Linked DNA regions of Lepisosteus oculatus. The protein of the gene in region 4 binds, or shares a complex with, the protein of the main gene of each other region. Links are inferred from orthologs where the notes say so. Each region holds a gene or a part of one and is shown on either strand. Other genes may lie near its edges.

What was found.
Region 1: the proteins of seh1l (region 4) and mios are in contact, whole or in part, in a cryo-EM structure (PDB 7UHY), measured with the Homo sapiens proteins. The link is inferred for Lepisosteus oculatus from reciprocal best matches to the Homo sapiens genes SEH1L and MIOS. Residues at the interface, in NP_112493.2 of Homo sapiens: Met1, Phe2, Val3, Ala4, Arg5, Ser6, Ile7, Ala9, His11, Lys12, Asp13, Leu14, Ile15, His16, Asp17, Val18, Phe20, Phe22, His23, Gly24, Arg25, Met27, Trp47, Ser173, Ser174, Ser175, Asn230, Leu231, Gly232, Arg233; in NP_001357005.1 of Homo sapiens: Arg279, Arg316, Ser317, Phe353, Glu354, Arg355, Ile356, Ser357, Leu358, Ala359, Trp360, Pro362, Leu366, Met367, Trp368, Ala369, Cys370, Gly371, Arg372, Leu374, Tyr375, Glu376, Cys377, Thr378, Glu379, Glu380, Glu387, Asp389, Ile390, Ala391.
Region 2: the proteins of seh1l (region 4) and wdr59 are in contact, whole or in part, in a cryo-EM structure (PDB 7UHY), measured with the Homo sapiens proteins. The link is inferred for Lepisosteus oculatus from reciprocal best matches to the Homo sapiens genes SEH1L and WDR59. Residues at the interface, in NP_112493.2 of Homo sapiens: Asn308, Tyr309, Met310, Asn312, Lys314; in NP_085058.3 of Homo sapiens: Pro713, Asp714, Glu716, Thr717, Pro718, Arg721, Arg837, Glu840, Gln843, His844, Asn847.
Region 3: seh1l (region 4) and nup37 share a complex: the UniProt entries of both Homo sapiens proteins name them as parts of the nup107-160 subcomplex of the nuclear pore complex. The link is inferred for Lepisosteus oculatus from reciprocal best matches to the Homo sapiens genes SEH1L and NUP37.

Annotation. Positions count from the first base shown.
Region 1 is NC_090705.1:3,822,339-3,830,034, forward strand, and holds the start of mios (GATOR2 complex protein MIOS), read right to left. Parts: upstream 3,017-7,696; 5' UTR 2,957-3,016; exon of another isoform or gene 2,939-2,956; intron 2,903-2,938; exon of another isoform or gene 2,880-2,902; intron 2,528-2,879; 5' UTR 2,464-2,527; coding exon 1,167-2,463; intron 734-1,166; coding exon 635-733; intron 1-634. UniProt on the Homo sapiens protein: As a component of the GATOR2 complex, functions as an activator of the amino acid-sensing branch of the mTORC1 signaling pathway. The GATOR2 complex indirectly activates mTORC1 through the inhibition of the GATOR1 subcomplex.
Region 2 is NC_090715.1:16,379,770-16,386,964, forward strand, and holds the start of wdr59 (GATOR2 complex protein WDR59), read right to left. Parts: upstream 3,008-7,195; 5' UTR 2,956-3,007; coding exon 2,902-2,955; intron 1,709-2,901; coding exon 1,659-1,708; intron 1,285-1,658; coding exon 1,149-1,284; intron 692-1,148; coding exon 606-691; intron 43-605; coding exon 1-42. Other genes in the region: RNA-binding protein NOB1, read left to right, coding at 3,164-3,166, 3,615-3,683, 4,171-4,303, 4,666-4,799, 5,435-5,506, 6,348-6,494, 7,054-7,195. UniProt on the Homo sapiens protein: As a component of the GATOR2 complex, functions as an activator of the amino acid-sensing branch of the mTORC1 signaling pathway. The GATOR2 complex indirectly activates mTORC1 through the inhibition of the GATOR1 subcomplex.
Region 3 is NC_090702.1:54,841,454-54,848,576, reverse strand, and holds the start of nup37 (nucleoporin Nup37), read right to left. Parts: upstream 3,018-7,123; 5' UTR 2,864-3,017; intron 1-2,863. Other genes in the region: parpbp (PCNA-interacting partner), read left to right, coding at 3,608-3,757, 4,709-4,942, 5,597-5,707, 6,912-7,082. UniProt on the Homo sapiens protein: Component of the Nup107-160 subcomplex of the nuclear pore complex (NPC). The Nup107-160 subcomplex is required for the assembly of a functional NPC.
Region 4 is NC_090705.1:9,368,353-9,375,576, forward strand, and holds the start of seh1l (nucleoporin SEH1), read left to right. Parts: upstream 1-4,223; 5' UTR 4,224-4,405; coding exon 4,406-4,516; intron 4,517-5,447; coding exon 5,448-5,498; intron 5,499-7,224. Other genes in the region: ptpn2b (tyrosine-protein phosphatase non-receptor type 2), read right to left, coding at 459-515. UniProt on the Homo sapiens protein: Component of the Nup107-160 subcomplex of the nuclear pore complex (NPC). The Nup107-160 subcomplex is required for the assembly of a functional NPC.

The DNA.
Region 1 (7,696 bases), about 5.5 Mb from region 4:
GCAAGCTTTCTTTCGGATACCACAATCTGTCAGTTAGCACTGGTCAACAATTTGATAGAAAGCAGTGTGATGGGACTGAAGCTCAAATGTCTGCCAATAGTTTCAAAGAAGTGTTAAAGAAGAGTACGGGCAGCTATGACACCCCAAAGCCTCCCGAGAGCAAGACTAGGCCTATTTCCTGTGCACGGAGCATAATGGGGAAAGAGATTACAAAAAATTATAAAATTAATTAAAAAAGAAAAAATTCATGTGGACAGCACTATCTCACACGCAATACATAAAATGCACCTTTTTAATTGTAGCTCCTCAACACTTACACTGATCATATTGTACTTGCTGCCCATAGAATCTGGTCCTAACGCTTATCTACAGGCAGCTAAGCTACTTCACTGCACAGGTTCATACTGCTTTCGTTTTTTTCTGTTTCTGCACTGTGGTAACATCTTTAAAACACTGCTGGACCTTTTAATGAAACGCCAATGACTTAAATTGGGCTTTTGGGCACTTCTAAGAAACCGTATGTTCTATTGCAATCACTATTAGAGAAAAAGATCGAAAGGAAGAGGAGACCAACTCAATCATAAGACACTGCCAATTCGGTGTGAAGTGAAAAAGTGTGTTAAAAATGTCTTACCTGAGCTTGACTTCACTATGTTTTTTATGCCTGAATAGACAAGAGGCAATCTGTTCCCCAAGTTCTTTTGTTCCAGGTCTTCAGTGTACTGTTTCATAAGTGGTTTATGCATAGGAAATTAACACTGAAATAAAAAGTGCTCTGAACCTTTAAATACAATTAAATAGAACCTAGAAATACAATTCAAAAAGAAAAGTAACACATTATACATATATATATATAACTTTTTATGCTTTGTTTTACAGTCTCTGTAATTTGGATTTAAGAGGATATATTACAGAAAAACCACACATCGGAGACTATGATGGTTCTGGCAGGGGGGAGTTGGTATATTACTGAGCTCCAGCCAATCAATCAGTCTCTCGACAGTGATCTGGGGAATGTTGGCTGTTTCATTAAAAACCGCAACACAGAGAGGAAGGGACAAGCAAGCGATGCTCAAGTGCAGAGCGATGCTCACAGCAATGTGGACTCAGATGCAGACAGAATCACCGGGCGTGTCACAGATCACCCTTTTTACTATAAAGGATATAATACAGAGTGTACCAGAGAGATTTCAGTTGAGGATCATCCCCACCGGCTAAAAGGTGGTTCCTCCAGATCTGCTCAGTGTCATGGCCATATCTGGACTGCGCTCGCTGCCTCATTTTAGTGGCAATGTCCATTTCGAGGGAGCCGGCCTCTGCCTCCTCCGTGCAGTCGTACAGGTGCCTGCCACACGCCCACATGAGGGAGGTGCTGGAGCTCCAGGCCAGGGAGATGCGCTCGAACACCGTGAAATCCGTCATGCAGCGGTTGGGCGACACCACCACCATGCGGTTCTGGCTGGATGGGTGCCACGCAAAGGAGCCGATGACGTTCTCGCACGGCTGCACGCTCCTCTCGATGATGGTGGGCTCCGTCTCATCGCCGAGGGGGGTCGGGGTGTGCTGCATGTCGTACAGACGGATGACGTTGCTGTCTCTGGTCAGGGTGGCCAGAAGTCCGGTGCGGGTGGGACACCAAGCCACTTTGGTCAGAGGTTTCGGCTGCTCGGTTAAGGTCAACACCGGCTTTTCGAATTTCCGGAGATCCCAAATGGCCACCTGGCCTTCGAAAAAGGAAGCGACTCGGTCATGGAAATGGGGGTCAACAGTGACCCCCTGGATGGCCTTAGTGTTGACAAACATCTTCTGGCTCGTGTTTCGCAAGTCGAAAATGGCCAGGTTGCGGTGCATGCCGGCCAGAAGCAGCTTCTGGTCCCGGGGGAGCCAGCAGAGGGACAGGCAAGCGTCATTTTGACCCAGCTCGTAGAGGGGCTTTGTCACCACGAGGCCTGCGTCGGTGTCGCCAGCCGAGAGACGCAGTTTCTCGGTGGGGACAGAGGCTTCGGGGGCAAATTTGCTGCTGATGTCCCAGATCAATACAGAGAAGTCGGCCCGGTGCTTGTCAAGTCCGGCGGCCAGCCAGTTGCTGTCCACAGGGTTCCAAGCCAAAGTGTTGCACTGCCTGGCGTGCTTCGGGACGAACTCTTTGCCCATTAATTCCTTGCACTTGGTGTTGTGGCTCTGCCCAAGACTGGTCAGCACCACGCGTCCGTTCGCTTGCCCCACCGCAAGCAGGCATTCGGGCTCAGGCCTGGGGTACCAGGCTACACATTTCATGTACGGGGTGTCCGAATTGATTGCCAGCAGCGTCGCTGCTGTCTCTCCCGAGAGCTGGAGAACTCCGGCTTTGGTCTCCGCGCTCCCCAGCGACGCGATGCGATACAAGCTGAGCTCCGAGTCACAGATGACATAGCGATCAACGTGATGGGGAGACCACAGGATATCGGGCTTCGAGGCACTCATCTTCCTGGGCGAGTAACAATCACCGCTGCTCCAGTGAGCTCAAGATCCAGGCATCACTGGATCACTTGGGGGAAACAAATACAACAACTAAAATTAGGAAAAGTAACGTGTTTTCCCAACTTTTATTATTATTTTATGACTGGATTAAGGGAACGTGACCAAAGGACGGCAGCTACTATGTACCGCGCTTGCAGAGAATCGTGCACGAAATATTAACTCTTAAGAAATCCGGACAACCCGAAGCAGGGAGGAAATACCTGAATCAAACCATGTTATAACCGCAGTTTCTATCTAGAATCATAACCTCTCACGTGAACACAAAATGATCTGCAAACTTCTGAAACACGCTACTGGCAGCTCAAGCTAATAAACAATTAAAGCAAATCCTTTCTCCATTAACAAAACTATATGCGCACCATAACGATAAGCCACCGCGACAAAATGCGAAACGCACAAAGTAACAGTTGCAACTCACGATGTTTTTGTTTCTTACATTAAAGTAGCATCGGGCACCAAAACAGTCCTACACCAAAATGATTCCCCGGGAAACAAGTTACGTGGCAGGCAGTTCTTGCGCAGGACTCGAGTTAAATTATACAGCGCCGCTTACCGCATCGCGCTTGAATGTACGCCCAATATGTGAATCTAAGAAAAAGAAGTACCAAATAGCGTATAATGTTAATAATATATGTAGTTTAGCATTCTTCTACACATGATGTGTCTTATAAGGAATACTGTACAAGTCGGTGAATTTTAATAATAAAAATAATAAGGAACAAGTAATAGGTTTATTCCATGTTGAAAAGAGAAGAGAGAATAATAATAATAATTATTATGATTATATTGTGCTATAACTTATAGTGTTTTTCCTGGATACTCCATTCAAAGTGCTTTACAGGTAATGGGGATCCCCTCCACCACCACCAGTGTGCAGCCCCACCTGGATGATGCACCAGTCCTCTCCCCACACACCAGCTCTCAGTGGAGAGGAGAGCAGAGTGATGAAGCCAGTTCAGAGATGGGGATTACTAGGAGGGCATGACTGGTAAAGGCCAGGGGCAAATTCGGCCGGGACACGGGGGGACACCTCCACTCTTTCCAAGACACACGCTGTGTTTTTAATGACCACGGAGAGTCAGGACCTCAGTTTTACGTCTCACCCGAAGGACGGCGCCTTTTTACAGTATAGTGTCCCCGTCACTCAGGCCACAACTAGGACTCAAGAAGACCGCGGGGATGAGCGCCGCCTGCTGGACTCTCTAATACCTCTTCTAGCAGCAATCTGAGTTTTTCCCTGGAGGTCTCCCATCCCGGTGAGCTGTGGTAGCTCAGGCAGCAAGGGTGTCTAGTTCTTGACTGGAAGGTCTCGGGTTCAACCCCAGGTAGGGGTAAGTGATTTTGCTTGCTCTAATTCCTTCCAGACGGCTCCCAGGTCCACTCAGCCTGCTTTCCAAATGAGTACCAGGGGGTTAATCCTTCTGGGGGTAACAGGCCAGCTGGAGTGTGATGCTGCCACCTCCAGTGTCAGATGTTTGAGAAAAATGGTAGCCCTTGCCCCCCATGGGCCTTTATGGCCCGAAAAGGCACCTACCTACCTCCCATCCTGCATCACACCTGCTGAGCTTCAGTGGGTTGCCAGATGTGAGTTGCAGGGTGATATGGCTGCTGGCCATATCAAAGTCTGAAGATATGGAAACAGTTTTTTTCTCTTTAGTCTATTTTAAAATCATATTCCAGAGTTTAGGTTTGTGTCACATCCTTCCTTTAGCCCGTTTTTGGCGTAATGATAATAGATATAGGAAACTTGCTTCATTGAAAAATACACACACGTGATTTCCACTTGAAAGCACAACTGTAGTAAACCCTCCCGTTAAACTGTTCCGGTAGTAAGAGATTTTTGAATGATCTGTATCATTAGACTCTGTAATTTGTGCAAAAGCAGCATGTACTGTGTACACTTGAATAATCACGTGTCACAAATTCCTGGGAGCTGGCAATAGCTAGTGTGTACTTGTAGGAGTGGGTGTCTCATCACCAAGTGTTAAAGGCTTGTTTTATTAGATTCGAATTACTCCCCCAGCAAAAATGTTCTCCCGTCACAGTTTTTAAGAGAATTATGACAATCCTCCTCTTCATGGGTGATTTCAGTTAACGATATGCAAGAGACAAGAATCTAGGCGCATGTTTACAATGGGATACTTGTTTTTGACGTGTAGAAAGATATGCAGACGCAGTGCCTTGTCTAGTTTTAAAATAAGCATGTTTCTGTTGCTTGGAGCTTAGAGCTCGGAGCAGCGAAGGAACAAGGGAAAGTAAACTCCACGCTGAAATAGAAAAAAAACACAACGCTGAACACAAGTCATGTTTTCATCAGAAATAGACATCACAACTTCTTTTTTCAGAGCAATTTTAACCTCTAATGTTCCCTTTCTATTGTTTATGTCATTCAGGGGTCTTTTCTTGAGGGATGCATTTTTGTTACTTACAGAATATTCTTCAACATTAATAATGACCTTTAACGCACATCCAGATAAACATGTTTAAGTAATGTATATTAGAAATCAACATAAAAACATCATTATAAAAATCCTGGGGTTTTTTCAGATCTGGAAAGATAATTCTCAAAGGGCTTCTGGAAATGTTTCAAATTATATCTATTTTTTCTTTAACTTCAGCTTTTCTGGTGGGAGGGTTCATGATGTATGAGCATAACAGATATCAAAGCACAAAAGGGCTTCCTAGTACGAAATTCTAGTTTTAGTCATTTGTTCTTGTGGGAAGTTAAAGTTTTTCAATTTGTCAGATCTGTCTTGGAGTAGGAGGTGGAAAATAGCAAAAGCCAAGTGTCTGTGGTAGCAATTAAGTGTTTCCGAGAGTTCTCTGATTTTGGAATAGCTCGATCCTGGCAAGGCACATAAAGATACTTAAGTTGCTGGCATAAACCCTACAAAAGATTAAAATCAAAGAGACGATCCAGGCCAATGTATCTCATTAGGTTGCTAGTAGCTAATTCATTTGAGAACTTAATTGTGTTGCTTTTGAAAAAAAGCCACTGTATCACCTTCACCTGCCTGCCTGGGGTAGCTTGTTCCATACACCCACAACCCTTTGTGTAGAGAAGTGCCTCCCGTGTCTCTGAAGATCCTGTGTGTTCAACATGTCCTCTTGCTATTCCCCGTCTGCTCTATCACACATTCCGTGGTCCCACGGGAAAAATATTCTGGACCTTTGTTCCCAAATACTTATCCCACATGACTATAAATATTTATTTTTGTTAAATTTAGGTGACATTTAAAATATTTGGTCAGAAGTGCATAGACATTATTTTCTAAAAGGGAGTGTGAATTCTGAAAGTTGCACGGCTGCACATCACCTTCTAGAGAGGATTCTGAAGTAAACTCTACTTTTGTGGTGTCCACAGGAAACTCAGTACTTTTCCTCCCAAAAGAAGAGAGTCTCGTCATAGTTAGGAGATGCTGTCTAGTTACGATTCTGAATTTGTCATTTTGCACTCTTTCAAGAGCCGGGGAGTGAAGGCTCAAAACTAAAAGTGTTGAGAATATTATAAAATTCATTCATCACCCTTTGGCAAAGCACCTGGTGAGGATATTTTTTTGGAAAGAATTTTATTTAAAAAAAACGCAGGTCATTAGCTAAAGTAGGGTACATTCATAAAATCTTCAGAAAGTAAAGCAAATGTAAATGTTGGGAAAAAAATCAGCTTTTATACCAGCACTCTGTCTAGTATCTGTTCACAAAACGAATATTTTGGATTGTCTTTTTGAAAATAAAACACAGATCTTGTATCTCATTTCATACTGAATGGTGAGGGAATTTTGCTTCTAGCAGTGCAGCTGTTACATGGTGGCAAGCCTTGACAAAGTAGTGTTTGTTAATGCATCTGCATCTGTACCTTGACAACTTTAGAATAATTGTTCCAATATTGTAACAGGTAATGCTTGTTACATCAAGCGGTTTAGGAATGGCAGTATGAAAGAGCTTACCATTCATTCTGATTATTTCTATTTTAATACTGCTTCTATTGTTATTACTACTGTATCAATGAATTGTGGCAAGTGACACTTGTTTCTTTCTTCCGAAGTTTTGTGAGCATAAATAAATTAAACATGTTATCCAGTCAGGTATTTAACGCATATAAAACACATTCTGGTGATTCCGCATTCAGGTAATACCACAGGGGAAACTTGAAGTTATGGATTATTTTTCATCATTAATGATGAGCTTTAACGCACAGCCAGATTACAACCCATTTGCTTTAGAATGAAAAAAGAATAAATGAAAACACTATGAGATGAACTTGTCAGGAAGCAAAACAAAGCACAGTATAAAAAGGAGACACCTGCCATAAATAAACCTGCGTAAACCACTATGGTCAAATTGGCAAAATTGAACCTTTACACTTTGCTGAACTTTCGATAAGAAAAGTTTAGTAGAAAGCTGAGAAATATGAGCACAAAATATCCTTTTTAACATTTATTTATGTAATATTGATGGCTTATGTAGTCTTAGCCGTGTTCATATTCCTGAGTGTGTATTAATATTTAATTAACATTTTATGTTGGCATCATTTGGTCTTTTTATTACATCTGGTGTGGAAAGTTGTGCTTCACACATTGCTGTTATCTACATTTGAGAGAGGAGCACTGGAGATTGACAGGGCATTTGGTGGTTACTCCAGATCTCATCGACTGAATGCTGGCCAGAATGTCTCCAAGGGTCAAAATGTTGCAGTTGTTGTGAATGGACCAGTTGTATGGAGTCCAGCTGCTTGGATCCAACTCCAACTAATTCCTGCTTTTTAGAAATAATTGAGTTTATGGTGATTTTTTTTCAATAAAACTGAATGAAAAAAAAAGACATGGTGAAAATCAGCTGCAACTCAGACAGGATTACATGCTACAAAGGTTTCCAAAATGTTCATGTACTGTACAGTAAATGAGACATCAACTTTTCTTTAAAAATGGTTTTAATTAATTTTACATTTCTGTGCATACTTTGGTACCATCTTGTAATTTCATAATTTATTGCAAGAATCACAGTTTGTGCCATCTTCAGATCATTTGTCTTCTTTTTATACAGTATATCTCATTATTCAGTCCCTGCTCAGCTAATTTAAGACAGGTTAAATCTTTTAAGAAAAGTGTTAAAATGTTGACTGTCATTACTCATGACCTAACATTTCTAAAATACCCTTAACTTGAAAAACGTTTCA
Region 2 (7,195 bases), on a different chromosome or scaffold from region 4:
GTCACGAGGAGCTCGGGATCAAACCACGACCAGTCCAGGTCACTGCAAGGCACAAACAACACGTCTGTCAGACCATTTACCTGGAAAGCAGGAAGAGAGAGAGGACTGGGCTTCTGCTGTATTAACACACACCACGCTAGCAGATACTAGTGCATTACTCCTGCATGTCCTGCATATTCCACTAGGATCCTTTGAATTATACTTGCCCATGTAACATTGTGAAGTACAAAAGCAGCACAAGACTAAGTTATGATTTCATTATCAATAGTGCAATGAAAAAGCAAATAAGTGGGTCACATTGGCCACAATATATAACACATACTCTACTATGTGATGTGCACTGTGAAGAAAGATACAAGATGTGAAGAAGGGGTTAACTGATTCCTTTCTGCAAGAGGAAGGGACTTCTAAGCAACAGGCTCAAGTTATGGCAGGAAAGGGGGATAACCTGTAGCCATATCAATACTCAACATGTGATGTTTTATGCAAATATGTATGTATATTGTTGTTCCTGACTTTTTTTTGTTCTGTCTGTACACCAATACTAATAATAAAGACTCTCTCTGTTGATTTCAGCACTCTACCCCAAACCACCGGCCTGTCACCTGATGACGCGCGTGTGTCCCTGCAGCGAGGTGTGGATCTCCCCAGCGCCATCGCGCCACTTGTACAGGTCCACCCGCTGGTTACTCTGCAAGTACAAGAAGGCCTCTGGGTCAGACTGGCACTGAACCACTGCAGGGAAACCTGGGCTGTGCTTCTCAGCACTGTCACAGTGAAAATCAACCAGCCCTGTGTTTACTTCCAACACATCGACAGAAGGTTTTTTTAGAAGGTGGATCACTGAAAACACAAATTAAGCACAGGCACATAGACACAACTACTTTGTTCCACCAAACCTTGGCATTTTAAGATAAACTTAAAAGGGTGTTGAATTCTTCCATAATATTCTTAACTATTTTAGAAAAATTATATAGTTCTATCTCTTTCATTATATAGTTACTAAATACCACAGGATTTAAAAACCAAACTGCTTCAGTGACTTTGATCTGGGGTGCTAGAACATGTTTGGGGAACCAAGGGGGTGCAGATGCAGTAAAGGTTGAGGCAAACGATCTCGTCTGGTTCTCCTGTCACCACAGTCTCACCGAGGCGGCAAAGAAGTAGGCCCCCGACTCGTGGGGGTTCCACTGCACCGTCCCCACGTCCCACTTGCTCTGGCGGCCAATCTTGCGCGGGGCCTCGGAGGGGGTGTCCAGGTTCACGATGTACAGGAACCGCCGCCTGGGACACGCAGACAGGACACGGTTCACACCTGCTGCGGCTCCAGGTACCACACACCGAGCGGACACACCGCCACCCCGGATACCTTCTTTACAAAAGGTCGAGACAACATTCTTCACTTTTCCTTAAATAAAATAGATTACCGAGAAGCTCTAAAACAGTGTCACACCACTCTGAATCTTCAGTGCCGCACCATCTAGATTTTGTTCACTATGTACAATGCACTAGAATGCACCCCTCCACACTACGAAAGGTATACTGCTGTACTGCAAAGCGGAGTCCTGCTGTAATAAAACACTGCCCACAGGGGCAGTGTGGCTCTCATGGTGCATCATCACTGGCTGCCGCTGCTGGAGGTTGATGAGAGAGCTCACCCAGACAGCACAGCATGGCGGCCAAGGCAATCCACTGACATCGCAGTCGCCTGCAGAGACAGGACATAAAAGATGACTAACAATCCATAAACATCATTTTGTCCTTGTTTTTTTAGTAAATTGATAAGCAGCTGGATTTAATGTTCCCACCATTACGAGCAGCAAAAGGTTCCAAATTATTGTCATACAATTAACAGAAAATAGGCAAAATTAAGGTAAATTGAGCGATCTGTATTTAATGAATTAATTTAGTTAAAGCACTGATTACATATTCATTCCATAAAAATGTTTGAGAGGAATTAAAGGTTCCACGTGAAATCAACCTGTTTTGGGTACAACAATTAAGATTTTCTTGATATTCTACGAACACATTTATGTTGTGGAGTACTGATGTAAGGCACAACTGCACACTCACACCTCAAAAGTAAAATTGTAAGTTGCTTTGAATAAGATGAATCGTTAAGGTTTAATCTGAGAAATTGGAACGCTATTTTAATAGACACCTACTTCTCGGATACTCTTCAAAATCACAAAATTAACATTCAGCGTTGACTGCAATGTTAACGCAACCATAACTTTACAGTTCTTCACCACACTGTAGATAATTGCTATTAAACATACTTGTACTACAGTACTTTATACGCAAGACAAGAATACATTTCCTAATGCAACCTTAACGGAGCAGGGATGTGGGAGGCGAAAATTAGACAGGTCAGTTAGCCAGCATCGAGCTGGGGGTCAAACTGGAGAACAGAGGCAGATCTCACATCTGATCTGCTGACTCAGCGGGGGGAGGGGGGTTGGAATAAAACACACCAAAATAACCACAATTAGCCAACAATAAGCCACAATTTCCAACTGTCACTCAGTGAAGGGTTCTACAAATAAAACATTATATCATGTTTACTTCAGAGCAAGGATCCTCAATTCCGACTATCGAAGCCCGGAATCCATTCGATTTTATGTCCCCTAAAAAGTGAACGCCTCCTAACACTGAGGAAAAGGTTAAACTTTAAAAACATTGATGCATCCCTTCTTCGCAGTGTTAAACTGCTGACTAAAGAGATAAAGCAAAACTCCTGGTTTCTGCACTGACTGCAAACTGACTGAGTGACAACCCTAAGTTACAGAAAACCCTCATTCCTGCGAACGCTCTCGACGTGGTCAGTTGTGTCGGGAGTCTAAATCTCCACGACCACGACCAGCAGATCTATCGCTTTCCCGTGATCGAGACCCACAGTACCTGTGAATCTCTGAACTCCACCACCACATTCTCGCTGCTCCAGCGCGCCGCCATCTTGCCTCCCTTTCAGCACCATAACAACAACACCGTGACGTCACACGGCTGCCGGCGCTCCATAGGGCGTTCCTATATCCCAGAGTTCGCTGCGCTCGATGAACATAAGGTCTTGACTTCCGGGTCAATACTGATCACATGGCGCTGTTCTTAAAATAACTCTTCCTCGGTATCCTCCTGAAATCAGCTATGTGCTGTGTTTTACTCAATGGTGGGTGAAGTTCCTTTCCACCCCCAAAAGTGTAATTACACTTTGTCCATCCTCCTCGTTCACTACAGATAATGTATGCAAATATGTATTACTGATGAACCTAGAAATGTATGAGAATTGACACAGGTCGGCAGCTATAGGTAGGTTATAAGAAATACCATGAACACAGGGTGCTATTATTGATAGGTAAATCATATTCGTATAGCATCATTACCAATAATATCGCATCATTGCAAACACTATTTAGATACCTCTTTATTGGTAGATTATAATAAAAAATGCAAAGAGTATTTTATTTGATTAAAATTGACCCAAGTAAACAGACTCGTGATCATTTTCGGTAGTGCAAAACACCACCGACAGGGGGCAAACTCTTTTGTTATTCTGTGAAATCCTCTGACCTGCGCAAATTTAGCAATTTTCTGATTGGTTGTGCAACTGTTTCAAGATGTCTTCTGCCGTGGTGGAGCATGTTGTCGCGGATGCTGGAGCTTTTTTGAAGAAGGCGCCGTTGCAGGTGAGAAAGAGAGTGAGCGGAGCGCACAGGGATGTTGTTTCTGTATTAGCCGTGTACAGACAGAACCGAAGAGCTCACAATCAGGGGTGTGCCGTGCTGGGACAGCGGAGGTGTGAGTGCGTTGGTGCGCTGCTATCGCACTGGGAGAAGTGGCTCAGGGGTATAGCGTGGTAGTTTTTATTCTTCCGTATTGTAGATATTAAAATTCGAATGGTTTTTACTAGTAGCCATTTTCTCTTAAGGATCTTCAGTTGTTCCTAAGGTGTTGAGATTTAGATGTCGAACTAATCAAATTTAAGGTGGGTAGCTGCGTCAGCATGCGTAGGCTGCAGAGAAACACGTAATAGGTTTATTTTCTTTCTTCTCTTTTCAGCATGGAATAAACCTATTACTTGTTCCTAATCAAAATTAAGATTCGTCTGATATCCAGATTGTACTTTAAATATACTCTTTACCCATGTGACAAGTCTTGTCGCCCCTATTTTAGGACTTTGGGAAGAATATCTACACAGTGAAAGAGGTGGTGAATGAAATCCGGGACAAACAGACCAGGAACAGTTTGGCGTTCCTGCCGTATCAACTGCAGTTTAAGGAGCCCCTTCCCGAATTCATTCAAATTGGTGAGTTAATGTTTGGGCCTTTTGGTGTTATTGGCAATAACTCTACCTTCTGCATGTCAGAGTGTTATCTATGCCAAAGTTCATGTATGGATTAGCAAAATTGGACCTGTTTTGGCTTGGGCCAGTTGGTTAAAATACCAGTTATAGCCAATGCCATAAAAATAGTTAAAATGTTTGGAGACTGTTACACTTTTTGCTTCTCTCATTGGGAGGATGTACAGTAGATCAGAACTGTGATGTATCAGCATTGTCCAAAAGAATCTTAGCTATAATAAATGCCCCTTTGGGCTTCCACAGGCAGTGCACGAATCAATTTCTCCAACTGGGATTCTTTCACCTGGTTCTTGCTTTTTTGATTCCAGTGACTGAATTCTCCAAAAAGACCGGAGACTACCCAAGCCTCTCGGCGACGGACATTAAAGTGCTGGCTCTGACCTACCAGCTGGAGTCGGAGGTCCTTGGCGTCGCCCACCTCAAGACAGAACCAGAAGTGAAAGTAAGAAGAAAACGGCGGCTGTTCGGTTTTATAATAGTTTTATCATAATTTTCATTCGCAAGAGCACCTCGTGTGTCAATGCGTCCCGGAGTGCTGTGCAACGTGCAGAGAAAGATAAAAATGTGCATGGCAGACACACAGCAGTGCGGGCACAGCTCCTCGCGTGTCTAGGCGGAGTGCTCTACAGCCCGGGTTCGGCAGCTGTGCCCGGGGGCTCGTGGGTGAAATTCCCACACCAGCCACAGACTGGTGCTGGGAGTAGTGCCTGCAGTGAAGCGCTCAGCCGGGTGAGGAGGAGGTGGATTTCCACACGCACACAGGCGGCTCTGTCGGCGAGTAAAGGCCTGGGACCAGTGGGAACAGAATCCCGTCACGCGAACACTTGATTCAGAGTCAGGAGTGGAATAAGAACTATAAAATGACCAGAACCAAATGTCAGTGGCTAAAAGCGAGCAGAATTTTGAATTTTACTCTAAATTTAACAGGCAGTGAGAGCGCAGATGCTAAATTGGGTTTGATGTGTTCATCTGATTTCAAGACCCAAAGCAGATGGGTCCTGCGCAGACTGCAGTTTGACAACTTTCCTATTGGCAACCAATGAATAAAACAGTAAAACCTATATTTTTGTGTTTCAGGTCGAAGTGTGCAGCACCTGGAGACACCCAGAGGCACCCGTCAACATTGCTGGATTCCACATCCCGTCTAAGGTCAGAGGCCAAGGACACTGTGACCAGAATCCTGCTGGGACCTATAGAGACTGGTCTTCACAAACATATTTAACACAGACATGGCCAGCTGCTCAGTGTTCTCCTTCAAGCTGTAGGGTTAATTTTGTTTTCCAGTTTAAGTGTCCCGAGATATGATGAGGTGAGGTAACAGTCTGTGTAAGCAAATTCATTTTTGCAGGTTTGTTTTTAGTAGCTGCATTTAGCTTGATCGTCAATCCTGGAAAGAGTAGTAACAGTGCAAAACAGTGGTTAGAGACCTGGATTTATAGCTGGAAGATTGTGGGACTGCAGACTGCAGTTCACTCAGACTGCTCCAATAAAACTCTCACTTGTACAAATCAATATTGCTGCTGATAAAAGTGTCACAAAAATTAGTTAACAGCAAAGGATACCAACTTTTATTTTGCTCCAGTTTCCTGATGGACACTTCCACACAGCAGGCCAAGAGATTCCAATTCTAGTCCTGGAGGTCTAAAATAAACCTTGAGTTCTGAGTTACACAATTGAACCTTAATTGACTTAATAACTGGATTCATGTGATTTATTTTTAACATCAGCTTTTAAAAAAATGGAGATTGCCTTTTAACTGTCACATTTTGTAAGAAGCTTGTGTCAGAATTTTGAGTAGGAAAATATTGCAACATTTCCAATCAAGCAAGTCATTAGTTCAATTAAGGCTTCAATTAAGTAATTAAGCTCCGCTAGAAGGAAATCCAGCAAATACAAGGATATCCAGGAACAGGATGGGGAAGTCCTGTTTGTAGGTTATATAGTGGACAATATTTGATTTAAGTGTTTTTTTCTTTTGTTGTTGTTGCAGAAAGGTACTTCAGACAAGAATGTAGGAGTCAGACCAAATTGCTCCAAGTCACAGAATTCCAGCTCCCCAGACGATGCCCAGTTCAACTCCTTCCAGTTCTGGAGAAGCCCCTTGCCCAGCATTGAAGCTGACTTGCTGGAGTTACTGGTGAGGACTGGACAGAGCTGGAGTGGATGCCTGTTCTCCATTTCCAGCAGCAGTCCAAATGTTACTTCTAATGCCTTCTCTACCATTTTAATGTTTTCTTAAGGCAGGGGACACAGTGGCGCAGTGGTCAGCGTTGCTGCCTCTCAGCACTGGGGCCCTGTGTTCGGTTCCTGGGGTGCTGTCTGTGTCTGTGTGTGCCCTGCGATGGACTGGTGTTCTGTCCAGGGTGTATCCTGCCTTGCAACCATAGCTTCCTGGGATAGGCTCCAGCTCCCCTGGCTACCTTGTATTTGGCAACATAAGATGTAAGAGAGGTTACAGCTAAGCGGAGGCCATTGGGTCCAGCATGCTGGTATTGTTCCAAGACTCTCCAGCCGTTCCTTGAAGGAGTCCAGCTACATGGCTGATCAGCTTGCTTCAGCCACTCCGTGAGTAAATTATAGAACAGCTTTGGAATCCGTCTGCTGGGTTATGTGTTACTGCCTCGAGGCTGAACGAGGTCTGGAACTTCCCTGCTGCGGCTGTCCAGGCTGTAAGGAGGCCTGTTGTCTTTCTGCAGAACGCCGAGACGGTCTCGGCCGCGTGCAGTTCAGCGGGAGCGACTGTCGATGAGCTGCAGCCTGCGCCCGTCTCCGCGGATCAGTGCTGCGGGGAGTCCCGGACAGCGGGGAGCGTGGGAGAGGAGGAGGAGGCGGAGAGTG
Region 3 (7,123 bases), on a different chromosome or scaffold from region 4:
TGTGGTCTCTGCAGCCAAGAATTAAGTGAAGACTTTCACACAGGGGGGTATTCTGCACGTCTTTTCCTCTCTCCGATATTCACATGTACAAAAGCAGGCTGACACAGCTGTAACAGGATCAAAGCTCCGTTTACCCAGACCTATCACGTTAGTGTAGGGCGCCACTCTGGTCAAGCACTTATTTTAAGGTACTGAAAAGCTTTAAATTGCCTAGATTCTCATTTTTAATCCAATATTCCCCATTCCATAAACCACTAATGCTATCTGAAAGCCTCAGGAAAGAACCACAGGGGACATAGGTCATAAACATTTGAGCCCATAAACAACAGAACATCACCTCAGTCAGGTACAGAAACCTCTTTTCAAAGACTAAAAAATCATTTGTAGATCTGAGCATGACTTGAATAAAAAAATTCAAATGACAACTACCAGATGATCTTCAATGCAAATTGTATTTAACACTTTTCATCTGAATTTGTAAGGCACTGTACTTTTACTTGATTATTTCTACATTTTCTGCCGAGAATGCTCTGAAGAACATAAGAATATGGCCTTTCCAACCATTCTGCTCATTTGGTATCTAGGTAAACCTAAAATTTTATCAAGCTTCTTCCCAGCTTGATGGAGGAGACCTGACTTTGAGCCACAACAACCTGACTGTGAAGCCTGTTTCGGATACCCACAATGCTTTGAGTAAAGCGCAGCTTTACAATTTCTCTCCATGGTACAAAACATAAACCTTTCTAATGCACTTATTTTCTGTGGTATAATGCATGCTTTAAATACTGCAATCACAGCAGAATAATTAATCTGGCAAAATCACACAACCACAACACAAATCTGGGAACATGAACACACTTGAATGTGCTTAGATTATTCCTTATGTGACTGCCAGCAACTGACATGACATATTTGCTTAGTTTGTAACATTTACCATGACTTGTCGGTTACAAACACATCTGAGGAATTATGTTCTACTTATCAACCTGCTGGAGTGTGGATTCTGGGATCCATATGACCACCTTGGCAGAGAGATCAACATGCACAGCTGAGCGTAGGGAAATTGGGAAAGGACTTTCTCCCCCTATGGGACCACGACTGTCACACAGGAATTCTATTTTCTGGCACTTCTTGCTTTGTTGGAGTTGAAGAAAAAAAAACTGTGGAAAAGTTAAATGGACTTAAGTGCGTTATGAAAGTTGATCTCTATATAGGAAAAATGTTGGAAGCGGGGATATGCAGAGTGGAATTTTTTATCCTGCTATGATCTGACAACTATTTTTAACTGGATTGTATGTGATGGCTTTAAATATACACACAGGGGAACCTGTTAATCATACCGATTATTGATCAAAAAGAAAAATCACGTAAACCATGAGCTAATATTTCTCCCTCTGATGCCAGATTCAGCCGACAGATAACTTTTAGTAAGAAAATAGGAAAGGTTACAAAAGACAAGTTTGGTCCATCTAGGTGTTAAATGTTTAGCCATTCAGGGGTCTGAATGAAAGAAATCTGGTGATTTCTTGAAATAAGTCAGGGTATTGGCTTCAGCAACATGTCTCGGTAGCTCGTTCTACACTCCAACAACTCTTTGTGTAAAGAAGTGCCTCTTGTTCGCATTTCAAGTTGTTTCTGAATAGTACAAGTGCTCCCGCAGACAAGAGAACAAAATTCTAATTTCTCGATGTCTGGTGTCAGATTCCCTTTCTTTTACAGCAGGGGATTCTCCTAAAACAGGGAAAGGGTCAAATGAAAAGTGAGTTACCATGATTCTCGGAGAAGGAACTATAACTTGGATGGCTCCGATCAAGAAACCACAAGAAAGTCTACTTTTTCACGTGACGGAGTGTGAACTACATAAGACGTGCTGAGGAGCCAATGCCTGCATAGCCAAAGCGATCCCAGGGTACCAAGAAACAGTGGAATTTAGACAGAAATCAGCCTGGATCACTGTCTGAGACTCCAGCAACACGGTATGGGGGAGAAACACAGAGGTCCGGGGGTATTGCACTGCAGGGCTCCCCAGTCCTGGTCCTCAAGGGCTGTCAGTGTGCCTGCAGTCCCTAAGACTGAAGAGAGAAGCTGGTAAACTGGTCCAGTTAAGCCAGCAGCGATTTGATTCAGGTCAATATCACCCCAGCTGGACAGAAGACCTACAGTACGGACTCACCAGACCTAGTCAAAGTCCAGACCTAAATGTTGTGTCACGGGCAGTTTATGCTTGAAAACCCACAGATGTCACTGAGTTGAAGCAGTTCACGGGGACTGGAAGGAACTGGTTCTACTGGTTGAAGAGGGGAAAAAAAACTAAGCACGTTTGTAAGGGAGCAATATGTTTCCAGTCTTTACTGCATGCAGCTTACGAAGGGAAACTGGTTGATAAAGACTCGAAACCCGGCGCAGTCAAACTGAACTCCATATGCTCGAAGCCTTAAGAAGAAAATTCGTTGAAACTTCACGGGATGGTTTGACAGCACAGTGAGCAACGTGGTTGCTGCTCAGCCGAAATGTGCTCTGGGTGGAGACAAGAGGACTAAAACAGCGACAGCAGTCAGCAACGCACACAAATGAAGTTGTGCTCGACATGTGCTGCCCCGAGTGATAATACCTGCACCGATACAGAATGTGCTCTGATAAAACCCTGCAATCAACATGCTGGCATGCATCAACCGCCGGGTGTTTTCCTTAATATAAAAGTACAAATCAATTTCATTTCATTTGAACTTATTTCGTATGTTTTTGTTTTCTTAAAAGTCCTCACAATACTAAAAATATATATTGCCCTACACTGAAAATAAGTGAAGTGAAGTCACTCGTTCATATGATTACTTTTTCCACAACAGCTTAACAGCGTACCTACCAGGATATCGGAATGACACGGGTAAGGTCGCTAAATCCAACACGTTGGTGGTATTTCAGTGGTTTTTCGTGTTAAACTCAAGTTGTACCACCAGCTTGCACAACGCAGAAACAGAGAACCCGCGCGAGTCTGTTTTCTGCTTCCAGCAATCTGATTGGCTCCCCAGGATCATATCCGGGTGAAAGGTTGCCCCCTCTCATTGGCCAGTGTCTTGCTGTCAGGAGTTTTAAATTTTTTACATTTTCTGAAACAGCTTCCCTAGGGAGAGCATCACGGTTGTTGACACAGGGACTTGCAGGTACTTAAAAATATGTTAAAGCTGCCTTTAACGTGTATCTTAAGGTTATTTCCCCTTATACTTTAAGTAAGGTTTGAAGCGTTTGATCGTTTTGTTTGATACTGGCTTTGATGTTGCTTTTCTGAAGTTTGAAGTGTGAATGCGTTGTATTTCAAACGCATTGGTGTTGTTGTTAGTAATAATAACAACTTCTATTTATAAAGCGCCTCTCCAAACACGAGGACGCTGAAAACTGAAACACTTGTCTTATAAAATTGCGAGTACACAGACCCCCAATTAAAACCAATCTAGTTGGATTAGGTAGTGCTGGTTAGGCAACTCATAACTGTACGTCTTCGATCAGTCAAAGGAGCCATCACCACCAACCACCAACAGAAACATCGCTTTTATGTCGCATGTATGTGCTTATTGTTCACAAGTATCCCCCCGTTTGGTTTCTAGAAAAAATGGCGATTCTTCAACAAAATCTCAAGGTCCTGGTGAAAGCCTTCAGGAGAGACTGTTACCGGCTGCTCGGGTCCGAGAGGATAACGATATGCAATGCAGACGACATGTTCACGGCTTTGCAGCTGGTCATGGCCGAGGTGAACAAACAGGTGAGGTTTTGCACGACGAAGTAGTTCTCTAACCGTGAACATTAGGAGTTTCATTGAGTGCTAATCCACTCTGTGATCAGCTCTGACGTCATGTGCCTGTCCTCACACTGGCAGTCAACCTTCCATTCATAGAGAAAATAAAATGTAGACTAAATTCAAATCCAAATCTTGAATGTCTCCATATGAATCCAAATAAGTATGTTAGTGTTCACCCCTGATGCACCCTACTATACGTATCTGGACAAAAACCTACCAACACCAGGACTGGAGATTTAGGTGCTAAGAGTTTGCCTTCTGTACCCCAGTCATTCAGTGTGCCGTGCTCTTTTCCCATACTTGTTTTGTGTTTTTGACATCTTTTCTCAGTTTGTTTTTTGGTTTGTGCAGAGGACACCAGGTTGCAGGAAATTTAATCCTCTCCTCTTGAAAAAGTGTGTACGGCACATACTTGTAGTTATGCGCTGCCGAACCTATTAGTTTTAGTCAAGTCCTATTTGTGTTAGAAGACGCACTAGTTACGGTTTTAATTTCTGTGGTCTAAAATAATGTGGCCCTGCTCTTCAGAGGAATCTTTCCCTGGCTAGATGTACAGAGCCCTGTAATATCTGAGGAATGTGTAACTGGATTAGTACCTGCTGGGATTCCATGAGGAGCACATGACTTAACAGCTTTAATAGTTATTTTTATGTCAGCTTGGCTTTCTGTGCGGATGAGGGAACAGCATTGCAACACATTGATGAAAAACATTTGTGTATCCAGGAGGAAATCCCTTTTTTATGTGGACAAGATTTTCATAAGGTTATCATCATTCTGCTATGATAGGGGGGGGGGGACAGATAAATGGGCTTAATCAGTTCTATGCATGAAATGAAAGACATGAACCAGATAATACATTACATGAGATGAACATGAGTACTGGGTTCATATTATTCCCTTCTTGTTTCCATTTAGGAGAAAGGAGAATTTGCTGTTTCACTGAGTGAAGTCATTGTCACCTGGGCTTATTTACTTAAGGATAAACTGAACTTATTCCATGAAGGTTCACATGCTCCAGAGAATTACAACATCATACGGAAAAGCTATGACTCCTTCCTGAAGAGATCGAATACTGTAGACTTGATTGACATCTTTGGGATGGCTGAGCAGTTAAAAATAGAAAGCGATCCAGAAAATCGCCTTGCAGCTGTAAGTACCCCTGTTGGGAATCCTGCTTGCTACATATAAATGAGGAAATCTTCTGCAATGCTTTAGTGCAATGTGACCTCTGAGGCTCCTTTACTTTTTGAGGTGCTGTTTAAGTCATGGCTTATGTAGTGTTAAAACAATCACTCCCTTCATCCCCCAGAATACCTCCTTAACCTCTGTAAAATAAAACTGGTTCAGGGCTGACTTCTCTTCATCTCTAAATGTTTTGGAATTTAGAAATGTCATTTCTAAAAGTCCATTTTCTAAATGTCATTAATAAAAATTACATTCAGATTATGTTGTGAATTGATGGTAGGGTAGCACAGTGCTCAGCATTGGGGAGCTGACTTCAGTTTTTGATCTGGGGTGCTATTTGTGTGGAGTTTGTATGTTCTCTCATTTGCATGGGTTTCCTCCCACAGTCCTGAGATGTACTGGTAGGTTGATTGGCTTGTTGCATTAAGTAGGCATGTCTGTGAGGCCCTACAATAGACTGACGTCCCATCCAAGGTGTATCCTGCCATGCGCCTGTTACTTGCTGGGATGGGCCGTGGCTCCCCTGCGATCCTGAATTTTGACTGGCATCCAGATTTTCAGGTGGGATTGTACTAGGGGAATCTTGGCTGTTGGTGATTATTCTCTCCTTTGAAAAAGGTCCAGCTGTTTGAGTTTCTGTCAGGTAACTCTGAATACTGCGATCAGATTGACCTTGTCCCTCCAGTTCCATCGACTCCATCCAGCAGGCCCCGATGGACAAGTTCCCAGGTACACTTAGTGCTGTTTTGACTCCAGAAGACAGCCACTCTTCTTTTTCCGTTGTTCGTAATATTTTATTGTGATTATTGTATGTAGATGACACGATAGATAGTTGACATTTTAAATTCAAATCCTGTGGTCATCAGCAACAAACGTGCCTGCTTTTCATAGTGTTTGAATCAATAAAATTGAGATCCAAGCGTAATGTTTTTCTAAGTTTTCAAAAATGATATTGGACACCTGCTATAGGATCCACGCGTCAAGGAATTGGATACATATTAACGATTTGCTCAGCAAGCATCTGATATCGTGGTTCTGTACAATACATGGAGTACTTGTGCCTTAGTCTTATCTGCCTTGTTTGACGTAATAGATTTGAACTTTGGTTAGCCAAAGAACACAGTGTTCTCGACTGTGAAACCGTAAAACTGACAAGAACATAGGTCTTCAGAGGACTTTTTTCCGTCGTGTTCTGCTCTTCCTGTCCAGTGTTTTCAGTGGAAGCTCCCTCAGTAACGAGAAAGTTAAATCCTATTGCCCTGACTGATGAGAGCAAATGGATCTAGTTTAGCAGGATTTATAAAATGACATATGATTACAGCAAGAATATCCGTGTCCGTGGAGTAATTCTTAAGCTCTTATGATCTTAATTAGAAGTTACAAGCAATGGATGGGACAGCCTTTGCTTAAGTTTGTTAGTAGCTTTTGATGTGTGTGTGTTCTGTGTTCTCTGATATGATGGGGGGAGGTATTGGTTGCTTGGTGATTTATGAGTACGTTTTCAGACATCTAGGATGCATTGCAAACAATTTGTGGCTACAGTGTGCTCTTTCATTCTTGATTTTAAAACGAACAATTTTCTAAATGCACTGTGAATATGTAGATGGGCTTATTGAAAGAAATGTGCAGGGTCTTTGAACTGTAAAGTATTGGCTGCTTGGTTAACAGTAGAGGTTGGCAATGAACAATGTTATTTTAGATTGTTTTAAATTGGGTGGGGTGGCCTTCACCAGCTATAGTCTTCAAGGTGCCTTTTTTTATTTGATAACTGGAAAAACATTTTTCCTATCTCTAAGTGTCATTTGAACGGTTTTACTCTCTCTTCGGCCTTATTCCTAAAACAGCTGCTGCGTTATTGTTTTTGAAAACAGATGTTCTATCCGTTTTGTGCAGGCTGAACTTAACGTTTGTTTTGCATTTCTTTCCAATGCAGTTGCTGAAAGTGATGAAGAGGCTAATCTGTGCATACTTAAACTTGCTGCTGAACTCCAAGAACGATCTGGCTGTGGCCCATGTGCTAAACATTCCTGACAGAGGCCTTGGAAGAGCTGCCTTCACCGATCTGAAGCATGCAGCACGCGACAAACAAACGTCTCTTTTCTTGGTAGGAGGCAAAAAGAGGACATTGTCTCTGGCAATAGGCTC
Region 4 (7,224 bases):
CTAGCAGTAAAGCGTCAGTTTATTTTACGCAGCTGGAACTGAGCGAAATATGATTATCTGATTACTACTGAGAACCTGCTTTCAGGTTAAGACACAAAACTAACACTCACTACACGCTTTTGATACGTCCAATGTTTGCGAAGCTTTTTTTTTTTGGTGTTATTTTTTTTAAATCGCTGTTTGAAATATCCAGGAGAATTTTCTAGCGTCTACTACATTCCTTTTAAACCTCCGGTGCGCGCTCCCGCAATTCCTGGTAACGAGCAGGGCATGCGCACCGCCGCCACGGGTCTGGGCGGCGCAGGCGCAGTACCACTCGCGGGCTCGGTGCGCGCCGCCGAGGCCAGGCTGCGGCCCAGGAACTTCCTAGAGGAAAGTCGGAAGCTAGGCGTTCAAACGTCTCCCAGAGCACAGCTGCTGCGGAGAGGGGGTAACGAAAAACGCGAGTTGAGACTTACGAAGTACAAATTCTGCCACCGGCCCGCCGAGTCCATGTCCCGAAACTCCTGGTCCATCGTTGCTGTGCCGGTGCGGTGCCAATCCCCCCCCTCCCTTCTCCGCGGACGTAGAAATTGAGTCAGTTGTTGTCGGCGTTCACGGCTTCAGTCGCTACACATCCTCCAGCCGAGCCATTTGCCGGAACACGGCGAAACAAACTGCGTGTCCGTGTAACTGACATCAACGCGGAGAGCGGCGCCTCTGCCCGCGCCTGCGCACTGGCGGGGGGCCCTTCGCTGCTCGGGCTGCGGCGCGAGAGGAGGCGCAGGCAGGTTGTCGGATGTGCGATGAGACGGCGGAGGGAGGTCTGGCGCCCAGGGATGACACCGGGCGGAATGAATGTCATTGGTTAGACAGGTGTATTTTTAGCTGGACGTGTAGGCTTTAGGTTAATCACCCACCCCACACAGACACACATATATACCCCCCCCCCGCCGCCTACAATTGCAATATTCTTGCCGCTTTTTCAAGAACATCAAACCGCAGCGAAAAAAAAAACTTCGCTCTCTATTACCTACTTCTTCTGCCTCCCGATGAACGATAACGTGTCACGCATCATGACTGTATTGAAAACTGTTGGAAGAAATAAGGAAAGGAGATGGGCGTAAGACCGGCGCTGTGTGAACCGCGCAAAATGTCAAGCTGTGTCTGACAAAAAGGTTATAACTCGGTTTCAGATGAATCGGGAAGTGGCGTGTCCCTTTTACGACACAAATCAAAACTTCATTGACGGAATGAGGCATTTGGCGACTACCGCTTTTCAGGGTCGTGCCGGTATCGTGCCTGCCCATCTGGAAGCTGCTGAAATGAACATTAGCCTTTTAAGGGTGGTGATCAATCGTGGGAAGTTATTTGCTCTTTCGCCCTCGCGTTATTTTTTTTTTAACTTGAACCCATGAAACATAGCCCTCAGGAGAATACGAAATCTTGACCTTAGACGGTAGCTGCATGTGCTATTTTTCTAAGTGAACTGTCTACAAAAGAAAACAGGTCAGCCGAGAATAACACAAGCGATCGAAAATCCTCTAATGGCTACTTACAGATATTTAATATATGTGTAACAATTATCAGAAACAATTGCTGCTAAAACTGTTAAAGCTAACTGTCAACAGGAAACCTGAAATACACAAGTTATTCTTCTTGGATCTTATTCTTTCACTAGTGTAATGATGGTGTTGATACTGTGTTAGACACAGTCCAGTGTGTTTGGGAATATTTCTGGGGAGTGCTTAGTTTTAGTGTTAGGGTCTGGGATATGTCATTAGGTTCAGGTGTAATCAGAACTCAGCAATGAGCTCAGTGCAATCAGACTGCCATCTGGAACCACCAGCAAATACATAGTATTTTCTGACAGCTCTCATCCAGCTTTCCAGGCAATGGAAAAAAAAATGAGTTTAATCTTTTAATAAGAATAACAATTGCAACAATAACCCTTCTTAATACACATTAACAGTGTCTGGCATTAGTCAAACTGAACTGGTTGTGATGTTTTTCTTATTCTGATGGAATTTGAAAACTGTGGTTCCTCATTATTTTCACTTTGGTTCATCCAGCAGACTTCTTTGGGATGAAGAGAGAAACGTGAGTCTGAGGACGCAAGTGGAAACTACTTGGACATGCCGTTAAAACTGGGAGCACGATGCACTCCTTTACTCCCAGAGTGGCGGGGGTGTGGAGCAAGCTCCCCGATACCCTGGTTTCCTTCAAGAAGCAGTTGGATGAGATCCTTGTGTCAATTAACTATTAACTACCAAACGAACTAGGGAGACCAAATGGCATCTCTTCTCGTTTGTAGCCGTTCTTATGTTCTCTGTGTGGCATGGAGCTCGGAAAAATAATTGGAAAACAGCAGCCCCAGCTCAGCGATTTATATCACAATACAGTTCTCAGAAGGGCGAGGAACATTACAGCTGATTCCACCCACCCTCTGCATTCTCAAGTCATAATACTCCCCTCAGAGAGACGGTACAGGGTACCAATTTCAAATAAAAACTTTTATAAGACGTCTGTGTCAGTGAATGTATGTAAATGTAGTCCCCCCCACTACCCATTTATTTATGTATCACATACTGATGTTGTGACTATTTGACTCTTATGTTTTGCTTGTGTGTTTTGTACTTCTGTGGGAGAATCCAAAAACAACCGTAGTGGACAATAGAGTATCTGTCTAGGCCTCATCTACCATGTTAATGCTGTTGTCCTGCCCCCCTCCCCAAGAGGAGTGTTCAAGATTCCTGCTGTTATTTTCCTCTGCCTGGACAACTGTGGTGCTGCTGCTGCTCATCATGGAGTCATGAAGCTCCAGAGCTGAGGTGGTGAGGGGCTTTCAGGAATTTGAATACCCCATTGGAATTGCCACATGATCACCTGTGATCCCTTACCCTTATACTGCGTGAGTGCATCGTGGCCATCGAGCGCATTTTATGCCTTGAGTGCCCTCTAGTGGCTGACTCGTGGTCATTACAACCTCTCCGCGCTGCTGTACAGCTACAATGCCGGACATCCCTTTTAAGTACACGTGTATAAACATCACCGCAGACATCCACATTTAAAAAGTACAGCATATGGAAGCAATAGAAGCATTTTAACTGAACTATATTTAACGCATTATTTGGGAGAATATTTAGGTTGTGCTTTTAAGTCTAAAAATCATTTGGAAAATCGTTTCATTGTTCGGCTACCTCTTTTTCAAAGTTACTACCAAACGGGTTAGATGGGCTGGCTGTTATTCTCTCGTTTGTAACTTCTCTTTTGTTATGTCTAAATCAATCTTCATCCAAAATCATGAGGTTATTAACGAACTGTGGAATCTGTATGATTTGATCAAATCTGCATATGGATCTTGTGTTGACAAAACGCAGATCCGATTAAGATTTTTTAAATGTTCAGTTTTTTTTTAAGCTTCCTGGAAAGCGCTCATAAAATCTGATTTGTTGCAGTGTTAGTAGTGTTGGGAAGATTTGCTTTGCTTTTAAGAACTGTTATAATAATAATTTATTATTACCACTCAAAGCGCTTTACAGGTAATGGGGACTCCCCTCCACCACCACCAATGTGCAGCATCGACGGCAGCCATAGTGCGCCAGAACGCTCACCACACATCAGCTCTCAGTGGGGAGGAGAGCAGAGTAATGAAGCCAATTCATAGAAGGGGATTATTAGGAGGCCATGATTGGTAAGGGCCAATTGGAAATTTGGCCAGGACACCGGGGTTACACCCCTACTCTTTTCGAGAAGCACCCTGGGATTTTTAATGACCACAGAGAGTCAGGACCTCGGTTTTACGTCTCATCCGAAGGACGGCGCCTGTTTACAGTATAGTGTCCCCATCACTATACTGGGGCATTAGGACCCACATGGACCACAGGGTGAGCACCCCCTGCTGGCCCCACTAACACCTCTTCCAGCAGCAACCTTAGTTTTTCCCAGGAGGTCTCCCATCCAGGTACTGACCAGGCTCACACCTGCTTAGCTTCAGTGGGCTGCCAGTTGTGAGTTGCAGGGTGATATTGTGCTATTGCACAATACTTCGTAAAAGATGTTTTTTACATCAAATGATAACTTGGGGGAATTGCTTTTATTGGGAAATAAAATCATGGTGCATAATAACTAAACACACGCTACATGGGTCACTGTAATTGAGGGGTTGTAAAATCGGATTTTCCCAGAATGTGTTCATATTAAACTCACTTCTCACTGAAATAACAGAGGAATAGCCCGAGGTGCCATCTTGTGGTGGACTGTTGCAATGACCTCATGAAGGCAGGCGCCAGAAATGGGTTGGAGAACGTAGGTGCAGCGCTCACATGTAGTTAAATCTAGGTTGCATTAGAAAAAATAAAGTCTGGGGTGAATTGTAACGCTTTAAAACACGCCTTTGAAGAGTTCAGAACAGCGCCGGTGGACGATGTTCGTCGCTCGGAGCATTGCGGCGGATCACAAGGATCTGATCCACGATGTTTCCTACGATTTTCACGGCAGGAGAATGGCGACTTGTTCCAGCGACCAGAGTGTCAAGGTAATTCCATGCGAGTTTTTTTTTTAAAAAGATGAATACATCATCCTAACGCCGAGGAGTCCTGTCAATAAATCAGTACCCATCGTGCTAGGAAGCGTAAATTTAACAGCTGCACGAAGCAATCGGCTTGAAGCGTTTCTGCGTTGCAGCATGTAAACAAACGGGCTGTGTAGGCCTGAGAGTTGGGCGCCGGGTCTGTGAATGTCACGAGTGAATTTATCTTGCATTGGGGTTTGAATTTAGTTTTCCGCTCTGGGCTGGGAACACATATACTTTAACCACGAAGAGCTCGGATACAGTCCTTTATAAAGCCTTGGTTTAGCAGGTTATACTATATCAGAAACCCTCAAGTATACGTTTGCTTCTATGAAGTCCTCAATGCGCCACTTGAAGACGTATAATAGTACGACTTGTTCAAGTGTTTTATTTAAATCTATCGTTTTAAGACGTTCAAGCTTCACAAGTAATACATCATTAAAAGATTAATAGCTGGTATATTTTACTACTACTATGTCACCGAGATAAAGGTTCATTAATTTCCCCCTAGCTGCACACACTTGTAGAACAGATTTTAACCAAATTATTTTTCTTAATACATTAGCTCGTAGCTTGTACATAGCTATATAAATCTTTGAGACGTATTGCGGAACATCCTGACATTTTAGTATTTACTGCTGCTGTCTAACATTCCATGCAGAGATGATTTTCAAAGCTTTTAGATGTTCAAGCCAAGGATGAGTTTGAGCCAGTTATTTAATTATTGTTTTCCAAATCGGTAAAACAATTTCATGGCTTTTCTGGAAAGACTGGGCAATGTTTGATCCCATTAGCAAAAATCGATGTTTATTTTTCAAAAAATAGTGTTATTTATAGAAAGATAAACAAAATACACAGAGAATATTTACAAGAGCTGATTCTGTGATTGTTTCAGGTCTGGGACAAAAGTGAAAACGGAGAATGGCACTGCACAGCCAGTTGGAAGGTGAGGATTATTCAAAACCAGTGCTTAGTTTTTTTTTAATCTTCCGCCCAGAATGTGTTGATAAAAGTGTTTTCATTCGCCTACGACACTGTAGATCAGGAATTAGTTGAAGACGGCAAAGGGCCTTTCCCTGCATCATGTCCTGGTTTGTCTCTGCTGCATATTTTTTCTTGCTCTTTCTGCTTGGATCATTTGCCAAATTGGGGACCTGAGGTAATTAAATATAGGCTCTGAAAAGCTGGATCGAGTGGAGGCTCAGTAGTGCAGTTAGGCCCTGGGTTCAATTCCTGGGGTGCTGCCTGCGTGGAATTTGTAGGTTCTCTCACTGTGTTTCTGTTGGCTACCTCTGGGTCCTCTGGCTTCCTCTCACAGGCCGAAGCCCAGCATTATAACATCAACCCTACCCTTCATAAATTGATTCTTCTCAGTCGTGCTAATATATGTGGTCAGACTTCATAAAGAGCTCTCATTAAATCTCCCATCTCCAAGGGGAGCCTGCCAGTCATTCATTTATTCAAGCGAATCTTCTTTTTAAAAGACCTTCGTGAGTTATGGTTCATAACGTGGTTGGCAGATAATCTGTCCTCTCAGAAAAATGGAAAGGAATGTAAAGCAGACACTGAACAGCACCACGACCACCGCAGGCAGAGGCTTTCCATCTGAGAGCATGTGTGTGGGGGGAGTTGGAATGAGAAACCCGAGGAGGAGGTTTCTGTATCACGCAGAGCTACAGTTCTATACAGTACACACACCAACGACTAGATTCAGCGCAGATCTTGCTACTGTTGAATTCACTAACCAGCAGCCTGGGTCGAGCAGACTGTGGTGTTGTACATTTGAAAGCCATTTCTTAAGCTTCCCGGCTGTGGGAGAAGGTTGTGGTGTTTTGCTTTTAAGTACTTTTTCCAACGGCCTGAATGAGTTCAGGCCTGAGAAGCAGAAGACTGAGAAATGCTTGCAGCTTCTACTGTTCTGCTGCATCCTGTCGAAATTGTCTTTCTTCTACCTCTGTTAGGTTTTTTTGGGGAGTTCCTCAGTTCCTTCTATAAAAAAAAAAACAGCCTTTTTTTCTGTCAAGCCCATGTGTACGGGCAATATCAAAAGTTTCGCCTCTTAATTGGTTGGAAGTGTATTTGGAAAAAGAGAACAGGAGGCAGTTCTTGTCATAACCTGAGAAAGGCCGAATGGCCTCCTCTCGTTTCTCTCCTCTCAGCTCTTTTAATAGTTTGTAGAGATTTTTCCATGAAAGTTCTCGTTCTGCCTTTTCTTGAAAGGTGGTATCGCCTTCTACAATGTGGCTGCCTAGCGTGTTCCATGTCCCCACCAACGATTTTTCCATTGGGGTTCTCGTTTACAAGTGTCCTTCAGGTTATACATTGTGATGTTCCTGGTACTCTCCCAAAACAATGGCACCAGCAATCCTGGAGCGGGACACCACATGACAGAAAAAGAGGAGGCATGATGTAAGAAAATTGGGCAGGCACTAATGTAGGGGCAATATGTGTTGATTTAGGTAGGGGTGTGTTGAGATCAGCGTATTACAAAGCAGGTCACTCTGGAAAGTAGAATCGCAGAGCCTCCATCTGTTCCTTTGTGATTTGCTTGAAATTGTCAGAAATAAGGTATGAATAACACAGGGGTGGGTCTTGTACAGCCACAATTGAGCAGGTAGCTTGATTGTAGCTTGATTTTTCATTTTCTGAACAATTTAGTTTTGACCAACTCA